Arabidopsis thaliana: one gene and its partner. The protein of the gene in region 1 interacts with the protein of each later gene in a pairwise test. Each region holds a gene or a part of one and is shown in the gene's direction. Other genes may lie near its edges.

The links. The genes of interacting proteins can lie anywhere in the genome.
Region 2: the proteins of AT2G20100 (region 1) and AT1G03040 interact in binary tests that used the Arabidopsis thaliana proteins (3 or more experiments, as listed by UniProt).

The regions. Positions count from the first base shown.
Region 1 is NC_003071.7:8,675,987-8,682,678, forward strand, and holds AT2G20100 (basic helix-loop-helix (bHLH) DNA-binding superfamily protein), read left to right. Parts: upstream 1-1,973; 5' UTR 1,974-2,198; coding exon 2,199-2,497; intron 2,498-2,743; coding exon 2,744-3,017; intron 3,018-3,145; coding exon 3,146-3,229; intron 3,230-3,980; coding exon 3,981-4,046; intron 4,047-4,160; coding exon 4,161-4,226; intron 4,227-4,561; coding exon 4,562-4,618; intron 4,619-4,822; coding exon 4,823-4,867; coding exon of another isoform or gene 4,868-4,930; exon of another isoform or gene 4,931-5,487; coding exon 5,488-5,823; 3' UTR 5,824-6,189; downstream 6,190-6,692.
Region 2 is NC_003070.9:703,320-708,401, reverse strand, and holds AT1G03040 (basic helix-loop-helix (bHLH) DNA-binding superfamily protein), read left to right. Parts: upstream 1-1,737; 5' UTR 1,738-1,944; coding exon 1,945-2,301; intron 2,302-2,745; coding exon 2,746-2,868; intron 2,869-3,034; coding exon 3,035-3,100; intron 3,101-3,272; coding exon 3,273-3,338; intron 3,339-3,733; coding exon 3,734-4,123; 3' UTR 4,124-4,553; downstream 4,554-5,082. Other genes in the region: AT1G03050 (ENTH/ANTH/VHS superfamily protein), read right to left, coding at 1-98, 213-676; AT1G03030 (P-loop containing nucleoside triphosphate hydrolases superfamily protein), read right to left, coding at 4,834-4,920, 5,021-5,049.

The DNA.
Region 1 (6,692 bases):
GAACTATTTGTATTGTAGTTTATACCTGTAATTTTTTTTTTTACATATATAAAATTTCTTGGAAATTGTAATCATTCTTTGGAGAGACAGAGGGATCTCCAAACCCTAGAAATTGACTCCTTCGAGAAATGTTGCCTTCTTGGTGTAAAATGAAAACTAAATTCTACTCCAAGAATTATTTATATTATTATTTTTAATTCATTTTTGCAAACGAAAAAAAAATCCACCGTTTCGCCTTCTAGTCGGGATTGAATGCGTCACCATGAAATCATGCTTTAATCATATTCTGCGTGAGTGGGAAAACAACTATTTATAAGTACATAGTACTACTTTTTGGATTAAATATTTCCCTCCACTTTAAACCAGAGGTGCATACTGCATAATATAGGTAACCTTCAAAAATTGTTAGTATTTTTTCTTACTCTAACATGCTCAAATTACAAGAAAAAATTGCATATATGTATGGTGATTTAAAGCCGATCCTTTAAATGTTTCCACGGTTTTCGTTCATGAGCCTCATTGTATATATATAATATATAATTTTAGCACGTTGGAATGAGAAAGAAAATTGATAATGGATAAGTTTTATTAACATACCAAAATAATAAACTTGTTTATGTTACATGAAGTTCAAAGAGGTAGCCTCTAAAATGAAGAATACTTAACAGAATAAGCAAATATACATTTTTGTTTTCCTTATATTTGATTAATCCCACAAAGATACAAATTACTACTATTAATTAAGCAACTTATCTTAGAGGGATAAGTGAACCATTTGCTTTGAAATGGAAAAACTTTGCTTTAGTTGATGTCTATATATCTATGAATTTGTTTCCCTAACATGTTTTTTACGTCAATATTTTTAATCTATATCTGACACAATCAAGTAGACAGTTATTATACCTAACACATTATCAGGTAGTCTATAGACTCTATACCATTTTAAATGTTTAACGCATGTAAGTTAATCACATACTCTATGATCTGGTGGTTTATTTGTTAAAAGTGAATTTTTATTCTCCAATGAATTAATGATATCAAGACAGAGCAACAACTAATTTTAATTAGTTTTTTTTTGGTATAAGAAGAGTCATATAAACTTTTGAGTCATTTAAACGTAATTAGCTTTGTTAAATGAAATTCCTTTTTAAGTGGGTACGTATAAAACCCTACGCAACGCATGTTGATCCATTTAAGTCACCATCAACAAAAAGAATTATATAAATCATTGGTTGGATGAAGAAATTATTATATGAACAAAAACAGGACAAATATCTTAACAAAATTAAATTCTCTGAACTTATCGTATAATAAATTAGTAATTTAAATCACATCAAACTGAACTAAATATATGGAATTAAAAGGGTTTAAAATACATTTGATAATTTGATGTAAGAAATATGCATAGATGCAAAATACTTGTTATATATGTGGGAAATATCAAAAATTTATATTCGAATATGTTATACACCGTACAAAAAAGTCTTCGAATATATAACCCGGGTCACCTTTTCTCTTATGGCAAAAAATATAACCCCTTTTCTGTTTCTAATTTTAAAATTTTGCATTCTTGATTCTGAGCTCATAGTTCGATGAAATATAATCTAGAGAAAAAAAAAAAACATAATTCGATTAAATAACAAAAGCACCTTTCCCTCCCTACTTTATGCATAAAGCTAAAGCATGGACAAAAATGAAGTATAGAAAAATGAATTACTGATTATAACAGTCTTTCTTAATTAATCTAGTAAATATTTATACATAGTACTGTATTACATAAACTTACACACTTAGGTTTATCTGTATCATGGTTAGATTATCGTAAAGACTAAAGACTATAATATTGTGTTCATGAATTAGAAAACTTATTCCTCCGTTCATCCAAAATTAGTTAATCGTTATATCGAATATGGTCCATATGGGCATCCATATTTTCAGAAGAAAAGAAAAAAAGAAAGTAAAAGCATGTTAGGGGAAAAAATAAAAAATAAAAACAGAGAAAAAAAATCGAGAGAGGGAGAGAGAATGGTGTTAAATACATAAAAAACCCATCATTGACATGTATCGATTGCTCAATTTGTTTGTCTCTCTCTTCTTCTTTCCTTTTCTCCAAAAACTAGAGCCTAAACTAAAGCATCGAGAAACAACAAATCTTAAAATCTTTTCATATTCTCGGTTAGTAGAAACTAGGAAAAGAGATGAATAGAGGAGTGTTGGAGAGTTCGCCGGTTCAACATCTCACGGCGGCTGGAAACCCTAATTGGTGGAATAATGTCAGCCGCGGCTTGAGGCCACCAACGCCGTTGATGAGTCACGAGCCGCCGTCTACCACCGCTTTTATTCCAAGTCTCTTGCCAAACTTCTTCTCTTCTCCGACTTCCTCTTCATCTTCTTCACCTTCTTTCCCTCCTCCTAATAGTAACCCTAACTTCTCTTCTTGGCTTGAAATGAGTGATCTGCCTCTTGATCAGCCATGGAGCCTTAGTCAACTCCTCTTGTAACTCCCTTTCTCTCTCTCTCTCTCTCTCTCTCTCTCTCTCTCTCTCTCTCTCTCTCTCTCTCTATCTATCGTTCGGATGTTTTCTATGTATAAACGGTTTTGAGTTCTTGGATTTGTTTTGTAATCTAATTCGATCTTATAAAGTTTCTTTCTCTTTTTTTTTTCTTTCTCATGTATACATAATCTACTTATATTATTTCATATAAACAAACATGATCTAATATGGATTGTCTTTGAATGAAGGGGTGGATTGATGATGGGAGAGGAAGAGAAAATGGAGATGATGAACCATCATCATCATCAAAATCAACACCAAAGTTACCAAGCGAAGAGGATACAAAATTGGGAAGAACAAGTTTTGAGGCACCAAGCTTCCATGAAACAAGAGAGTAGTAATAATAATAGTTATGGAATAATGTCCTCACCAAACTCACCTCCAAACAAATCTTGTGCTACAATTATCAACACCAATGAAGACAACAACAATAACATTCACAGTGGTCTTAACTTGTCCGAGGTGGGTCAAAATAGTGAATTATTCAGATCAAGATATAATCTTTACCAAATATTAATTAACATCTCCATATTTTTTCTTTATCAATGAATATATCTGAATTTTGTTTCTGTCTATGTGTGTTCATGAAGTGTAATAGCTCAGAGATGATTGGGTCTTCTTTTGCTAATAAGAAACCAAAACTTCAAGTTCCTTCATCACAATCAACTCTCAAGGTAACTAACTAAATCCATATGTCTTTGGTTCTATCTCTTGCTGGCATTTTAAATAACAAAACAAATGCACAAACATAAAGGAGAAGTAGAAAAAAACAAAAGAGAATGGGCACAGAATAAGCTGCATGTGTGTGTGATTGTAACATTTTTGTCTTTCTTATGTGTCTTCTTCTTCTTGATCCTATTATTCTTTTTTCTCTTCCTTTCCTATGATTCAACGGTAGTTACGCAATCCTTTTTTGTTAGTTTTTATTTTAAAATGAGAAATAGATACTAAATCTGTTTTTTCAGTTTGATTCAGTTTTAGCTCAGCTTTCCTTTTCTAACAAAAAAATAAAAATTATCGAAGTTAATTAACTTTATTATGTTTTCTCCTTCTTGCTCTGTTTATTTTGTTCTGTCTAAATTGATATTGTTATGTTTGTAACAAAACATAACTTTATTTTGATCAGTTATCAAAATGTGTCATTCTTTTTCCTTTTTTTTTGTTTGGATCTTGGATCAAGTTTTGGTTAATGTTTGATTTAATCTAAGTGCATATTCCTTCTACAATATCAAAATTCCTATGTTTATGTATAATTTGCACGCTCATACTAACAAAAACTAATCATATATTAAAGACTTGAATGATCTTTTTCCTTTTTCCCATTTTAAAATAGATAAAATCACTCATAGATCTAATTACATTCGTTAAATTACGAAATGATCACATGTAGAGTGTATTTATATACGATCTCTGTATTTATCAAAGGTGAGAAAGGAGAAACTTGGAGGCAGAATAGCATCTCTTCACCAGCTAGTATCTCCCTTTGGCAAGGTATAATTACTGATTAGTTCCCTTTACTAATCACTTGTTTAAGATTATCTAATCTATGAATCAAAATTGAATTATATTAGTCACTGTTTGGTTGATTGATCCCTTTTATTTCAGACTGACACAGCCTCTGTCTTGTCGGAGGCTATTGGATACATTAGATTCCTCCACAGTCAAATTGAGGTGACTTGTCTTTTCCAAACTACCATGCTTCTTATTTCATTTATTTCAAGACAAATATTTATTTGAATCTTCCTCACAACTACAACACAAATAATCATTTGTGAACCCAAGTATGGAATTATTTGGAGTTCTATCTTCCTTTTTTATTTGGGATTTTTTTTAAATCATAATAAGAACTGAATAACATAAGTAAATTGTATTCTATTGAAACAATTAGCTGAGGTTTATGTATTTCTATAGCATTAATTAATTTAACGACTATATTTTGTGAGATTAGTTTTGTGTGAAAAACTATTTAGTTTTGTTGTCACTCTAATTAATTTTCACAATTACAGGCTTTAAGTCTACCATACTTTGGTACTCCCTCGAGGAACAATATGATGCACCAACATGTAAGTATTAAATTAATATACAGCTTTAATTAGTAACATGTATAATGTAATTATACACTACAAGATGCACATACATGCATGGGTTTCTACTAACACATCATATATATATAATGGGGCATTAAAATGTATCTTTTTTTTTTTGGTAAGTGCATTAAAATGTATCTGAATGCTAATCATTATTAATTTGTAATTACGTGAATATAGGCACAAAGAAATATGAATGGTATATTTCCTGAGGACCCTGGTCAGGTACGCACATATATTTTTTTACTTTCTAGTTTTATATACTTTACTTTTTATTGGATCAACTAAACCCAAATCTCAATTTAAAAAAAATAAATACTTGCCAGCTTTATTCCAAAACAATTACCCTTTTTCTCTACTATTGTTCTCTTGAAATTGAAATGACTACGATAAAGTATGGTCAATAAAATAAAAAGATGACATTACCAACTTTCCTTTTCAGTCCTCTATTAAACCTAGAAAAGCCATTTAAATGATTTATTATATTTATTTTCCTCAATCAGAGTAGCTTTGGTCACAAAAGTTTTTTTGGCAAATGATCGATCTAAATCAACTTTTCCAACCAAGATATCACGATTCACCTGTCCCACAAATGGTTTTATATTTTGTGACTACTTGTGAGTTTGAAATTAACTCTGACTCAAAATTTTAGCAATATTTTTCAAAGCAAAATTTATCGCTTTTCAAATTCAGAAAATTAAATACAAAATACTCACACTCAAAGGTATTAAACCCGCGGATTGGTGCACAAAACAGTAAATATTCATTTTTTGGTTGCAAAACAGTAAATATTCATGAAACTGGCATAGGTTATTTTATCCATATATCATTTACATGTAATACAGGCCGACCCACCGCAAAAGAATTTGGGCTGTTGCGAAGTAGGCCAACCCGTTTTGTCACCAATACTCCCACTAGATCACACTTTCAATATTATTTTAAATATCTATGCTGAAGAAATATTTTCTGATTTGGTTAATCAGCTTGTGAATGAGTATTGCATGAAAAGAGGAGTTTCATTGTCATCGACGGACAATCAAAAATCAAATCCTAACGAAGAACCGATGAAAGATTTGAGAAGTAGAGGGCTTTGTCTTGTTCCCATCTCATGCACACTACAAGTTGGCAGCGACAATGGTGCCGACTATTGGGCTCCGGCGTTCGGAACCACTCTCCAGTGAACTATTCACTTTCTGTTATTTTATTTTTGGTCAGCCAAAAAAAAATAGTAGATGTTATAACATCATGAGCAACCAATCAATTGAGAAAACATCAAAATGAGTTTCCAAATTTGATTGCTCATGATGCTATACTAAAACCGATTGGTTTTGGCGTTTGGCCTTTGAGCATTTTCAGTTGACGAGTATGAGATGGCTTGTTGAATCATGTTTTTCTTACTTTAATAGGAAACTTTATTTATTCTCTTAATGTATATGTTGGTTCTATTTTAATTTTATTATTGTTATAATAGAATGGTTAAACAGTTAAAGATGTTTTCATACTAACTTCATCACTAGGTTTAATCGTTTAAGATGTTTTAAAGAAGCAAGAAATGTTGTCTTCGGAAAGAAAACAGATGTACTTATAGATACTTTCTGTTCCCAATAATTTAGAGACTAATGATTTCTTTTATAAATTGTCCTAATCAAAGTTTCGTTTGTTTTAGTTGTCTTTTTAGATTTCTCGTGCATGGTCTCAGCTCAGTTTATTTTTAGACACTTCAGACATCTCACCATGGTATTGGAATTGGTAGTGCTCAATTGGTGGGTTTATTATAAGCCCTTTGCTCCATCACTATAATTGGGTTTATGGACTTTGAATTAAATTCTACAGGCCCATGGGTTTATGGATATTGTTTTCAGCACATGTCAAATGTCAATATATGAAAAATTCAATGTGGAGAAACTTCTGGTGGCTTCATAAAGAGTAAGACTGCATTTCCTGATAGTAGTAGTGTACTGGTGTGGATGCAGATAACGTTATTAGAAATCAAAATTGAAAAGGTAGCTATTTTTAGGTCACATATTGTATCATTAATAGTCATTGTTCA
Region 2 (5,082 bases), on another chromosome or scaffold:
TAGCCGTGGAGAGATCTGCCGCAGCTTGATCCTGTTCTTCTTCGTCAGCTTCTCCTCCAACGCAGTAAACTCCACGTTTCCCGTGTCTCGCTTGCATCCTCAAAAATTGCAATGAAAAAAAAAAAAAAACCGCATATCTTAGATATCATTCAAATTACATAAATAACTTGAAATCCCGAATCGGAACCTGGATCAAGCACAAGAACTCTTACCTGAAATCAAGCCTTTCGTCAAGGTACAATGCGTAAGTCCTGACAAACGCAGAGTAGTCCCAAGAATTAGACCTCGAAACATCCCTAAAATCAGACATATTGAGAAGCCTTGTTCCACGGCGAGTGGCGAAGAAGATCTCTTGCTCGTAGGCTTGATCTCCTTCTCCTAAGAGCCTTTGGATCAAAATCAAGGTTTTGAGGGCAACGGTCCAGCATTTGGTTTTATTAAGGCGTCTCGAAAGCGTGCTAACGCAAGCGTTGATGTAACTGCGTGAGTAAGAAGTTAGGCTAAGAATCTCTCTAATGTATTTCTCTTCTGCTGGAAACTCTTCGTGACGAGTGGCTTTGACGATGGCTACGTCAAGTTCAGATAAAGAAGCGCTTCGACCATTGACTTTGGCTAGACCGACGCTGGTTTGGTCCTTTACGGCTCCTATGGCTCGTTTAAACTTACTCGAACCCATTTTTATTCTGATTAGTTAGTAAATTTGTATTAAAGACAAAAAAAAGAAAAGAAAATATGTAAAAGAAAAGATTTGAAGAGAGAAAAGGGAAGAACGAGGCTTGTTTTTATTTTGTTTTTGTTTTTCCTCGTCGTTTCCTTTTTTCTCCTCTGTTTCTTGTTTAGTTTTGTTTTGTTTCTTCTTCTTCTTCTTCTATGTTTTTGTTTGTTTGTTTCGTCAATGTAGTTTCTTTGTTGTTCGTCGATTATTCACCATCTAAAGTCGCCGAGGTTATTGGAGGCTTTGTCCGGTGAGAAATATGGCCACGTGGCAAAAAATTAACTTATTGTTTGACGGGTCAACTGAAATTTAGTTTGCATTTGCCATTAATGGGTAAGGAGAAGAGTACTGATTAAAGAGGAAAAAACTTTCTTCTAATTTGTAAAAAAAAATACACCAAGCTTTTTTCTTATGGATTGGAAGCCCAAGATTGAATTATGGAATCCAACAAATCAAAATCGATCCAAGCCCATTTCTGCTGACATATTTTTTACTCGTATTATATTCAGAAATGCCACAATTTTGTTTTGTGAAAAATAGAAAAACCCTTGTCTCTCAAAATGGAAAACGAGTCGGACAACGGTTCAGCACTAAGGAGAAGCAAGTTGTAATACCATATGGCAAAATGAAACGTGTCATTTTTATATTGGATATTAGAAACTTTACTCCATGAGTGCTAAATTTCGGAAAAAACGACAAAGACAGATTTTTTTAAAAAAATCTTATTTTCTACCACTAACGAGATGACGACGACCCCGACAATGCGTAGAATTTTTCCCATATCATTTATATATTTTAAAAAAAGAAAGTTATATTGGTTTTTAACATTCTACTAAAAAGAGTTTGGTAAAAGACCTTTTTCTTAATTTGATATGAATAAATTGAAGAAAGTCAAAACAAAAAGCCCACTTCAAAACAAATAAAGCCCACTTCAAGTTTCTGGAAGGTATATAAGAACAAGGGCAAAACCGAAAATAAACCACAAAGTAAGGTCCTTTTAACAAAAATAAAATGAAAGAGAGCATAAAGTGAGTCTTTTTGTCATATCCTTTCTCGTCTGTGTCTCTTCGTCCTCATTAGCTTAAGCATCATCATTCTCTCACCTAACAACTCCACACAAGATTCTTCGCATGGAAAGTTGTTCTTCGACTTCTCTTCTCTAACTCGCTATCTTTTAACTCACCCAGCTCCACTGAGTCGAAAATTTCAAACCTTTACTCGTTTCCTTCATGGCTAATAACAACAACATCCCACATGATAGCATCTCCGATCCATCTCCTACCGACGATTTCTTCGAGCAGATCCTCGGGCTTTCCAACTTCTCCGGTTCTTCAGGTTCTGGTCTCTCTGGAATCGGCGGCGTGGGTCCACCTCCGATGATGCTTCAGCTTGGTTCAGGCAACGAAGGGAATCATAATCATATGGGTGCCATTGGAGGAGGTGGACCTGTAGGGTTTCATAATCAGATGTTTCCGTTGGGATTAAGTCTCGATCAAGGGAAAGGACATGGCTTTCTTAAACCTGATGAAACTGGTAAACGTTTCCAAGACGATGTTCTTGATAATCGATGTTCCTCTATGAAACCTGTAAGTTTCTCTTCAGAATCTTCACTTTGTCTTTTTCTTTTGTGTTCTCGAGAAAATAAAGTGAAATTCAAATCTTTAGGGTTTCAAAATGGTGTCGTTTTTGAGAAAACCCAGCTTAGGTCTAAATTTGATAGTTACCGAGAGTTTTTGGCTCAGATTGGTGAGATTTGATGTTTTTGAAGAAACCCAAGTTGAAGATTTTGATGTGTTTTAAAGTCATAACACTAAAATTAGTTTTGCAAGAAACTTTAGTATAAAAGAGTGTTCTTTTATGTCCAAATTATATTGTAAGAAAATTTGCTCTTTAGTTTCTTTTCTCATGTGGATAATTCCGTCATAGTTTGAATTGTTGCTATAACTACTCTAGTGGCGACCGTTCTTGTGAGAAGCGGTTTTTAAGCTTTTCTTAATGTTATTACGGCATTGTTTTGTGTTTTGTTGAAGATTTTCCATGGGCAGCCAATGTCACAGCCAGCTCCACCAATGCCGCATCAACAGTCTACTATTCGGCCTAGAGTTAGGGCTAGGCGAGGTCAAGCTACCGATCCACATAGCATCGCTGAGAGGGTAAGATGTTTGATACACTTTTTTTATCTTCTGGTCTCTTTTTTCGATTTTTATGTGATAATGTTTGATCAAAGCTTTAATTATAGCTTTTGGTTGAGAAAGTTCGATTAGTTCTTACTTACTAAGAACGGTAAGACCTAACCTGAATGTATTTGCTTTGCAACAGCTCCGAAGGGAAAGAATAGCAGAACGGATCAGGTCGTTGCAGGAACTTGTACCTACCGTTAACAAGGTTGGTATCTTTTTCTCTAGAGCTTCAGCTACTGTTTTCATGTCGCGAAGAGAGCTTGAAAGAGATTTTAAAAGTAGGGAGAAAACTAGAGTTGTCAATGAGAGAAAAGTTTTGTGATTGGCATATAGAAACTGCGGTATTCACATCTGTTTCTTTTGCTTTCCTTTTGCAGACAGATAGGGCTGCTATGATCGACGAGATTGTCGATTATGTAAAGTTTCTCAGGCTCCAAGTTAAGGTAAACACCCAAGTCATTTTCAGTTTTCTATTCTCTGGTTTTTGAAAATGCTATCATTAAAAGTTTGTAGAAAGATTATTTAAAACAGCCAGAAGGATTTAGTGGTGTAAATCCTTGGTCCCCACCACCACCTACTCTCTTAAACCAAACTTCCAATCTTAATAAAAGATTATAATTGTTTAATCTGGCAATAAAGAGTAATCAAAGAGTACATGATTGTGTGTTTTTTGGCATTAGTGTCTTTCACTTTTTGCTTGCTTCCCTCCCATGGAGAATCATCACAATTGAGGACTATTGTAATAAAGCTAATGAGAACATTGAAGAATATTTTATGCAATGATGGGCTTTGATAATATTTTTCCTTCATAAGCTTTATCTCTGGTCAACTATGGCAGGTCCTGAGCATGAGCCGTCTTGGTGGAGCCGGTGCTGTCGCACCACTAGTCACTGAAATGCCATTATCTTCATCAGTTGAGGTTAGACTAGAGAGAGATACTTCATTAAAAAAAGAACAGAACTTTGGTAATGGTTTTTCTTGCACTGACTTGTGGTGTAAAAACTTTCTTCAGGATGAGACGCAGGCCGTGTGGGAGAAATGGTCAAACGATGGGACAGAGAGGCAAGTGGCTAAGCTGATGGAAGAAAACGTTGGAGCAGCGATGCAACTTTTGCAATCAAAGGCTCTTTGCATAATGCCGATCTCATTGGCAATGGCGATTTACCATTCTCAGCCACCAGACACATCTTCTTCAATCGTCAAACCAGAGATGAATCCTCCACCGTAGATTTTTGTTCATCCAACGGTCCCCAGCTGATGATTGACATTTTGCTCTGTTTCCCACTACTAGACTTTTGTGACTCATGAAAGGTAAGTAAAAAGGCATTGGAGATGGAATCTAAGTAGGATTTGTGCAGTAAAGAAGTAAAACGGGATCTGTCAAAAGAAGGAAAAAGCTCTCGCTTGCTTGGCTAGTATTTATCATTTTGATGAAAGTAACTCTTTTTTGTTCAAAGACTTTAGTGTGATTTTCAGGACCAAGGGCTTTGAGGGTAGTGCTAGCTGTAGTAATAGTAATGAAGGTGTGGGATCGTGTTTCTGAATTATGTAAAAAAGGAAGAAAAAACAAATGTTGGTATTATATTATGGTTTTGCCTCTCTTTTTTTTCTTGCACTAATTTGGATAGACCATTTAACTATTCAAAATGATATAGTTGGGAGCTGGACTGATTATAATTAGGTAATTTCCCGCGCATTCAAACACTTTATGCATTAGAACTTCTAATTTAGAAGTATAAAACACATTGTCTGAACAAAATCCGTGAGTATGCAGAGAACACTAGCATACACAGTTTACTGCGAACAAATTGCTTATTGGAAGTTTCCGTTGCAAGAAAAAGACATTGTAGACCAAAGGCAATCTTCCCTTGAAGCGCAACATTGTCTTTTGTTATTCATCTTATTCTGTTTCGTCCAATAGCCCCCTTGAAAGTAGATTCAAATGTTCATAGATCTGATCAGTAGATCAGCGTTTGTCTTTGACTTTATTATCAGCTCTGCGTTGGGTCGGTCATTATAATCCACCTGCCATCCAAATTTGAAAAAAAGAAGCAGCTAGCTACCTTGAACAAACCATTGAAACCATGTAACTGAATATTAAGTAGAGTAGAGCCAGAGCTTTTACCCGCCATTTAGCAACATCTGGGGGTTTACCTGTAATTCACAAAGGGAAAACGGATTAAACAA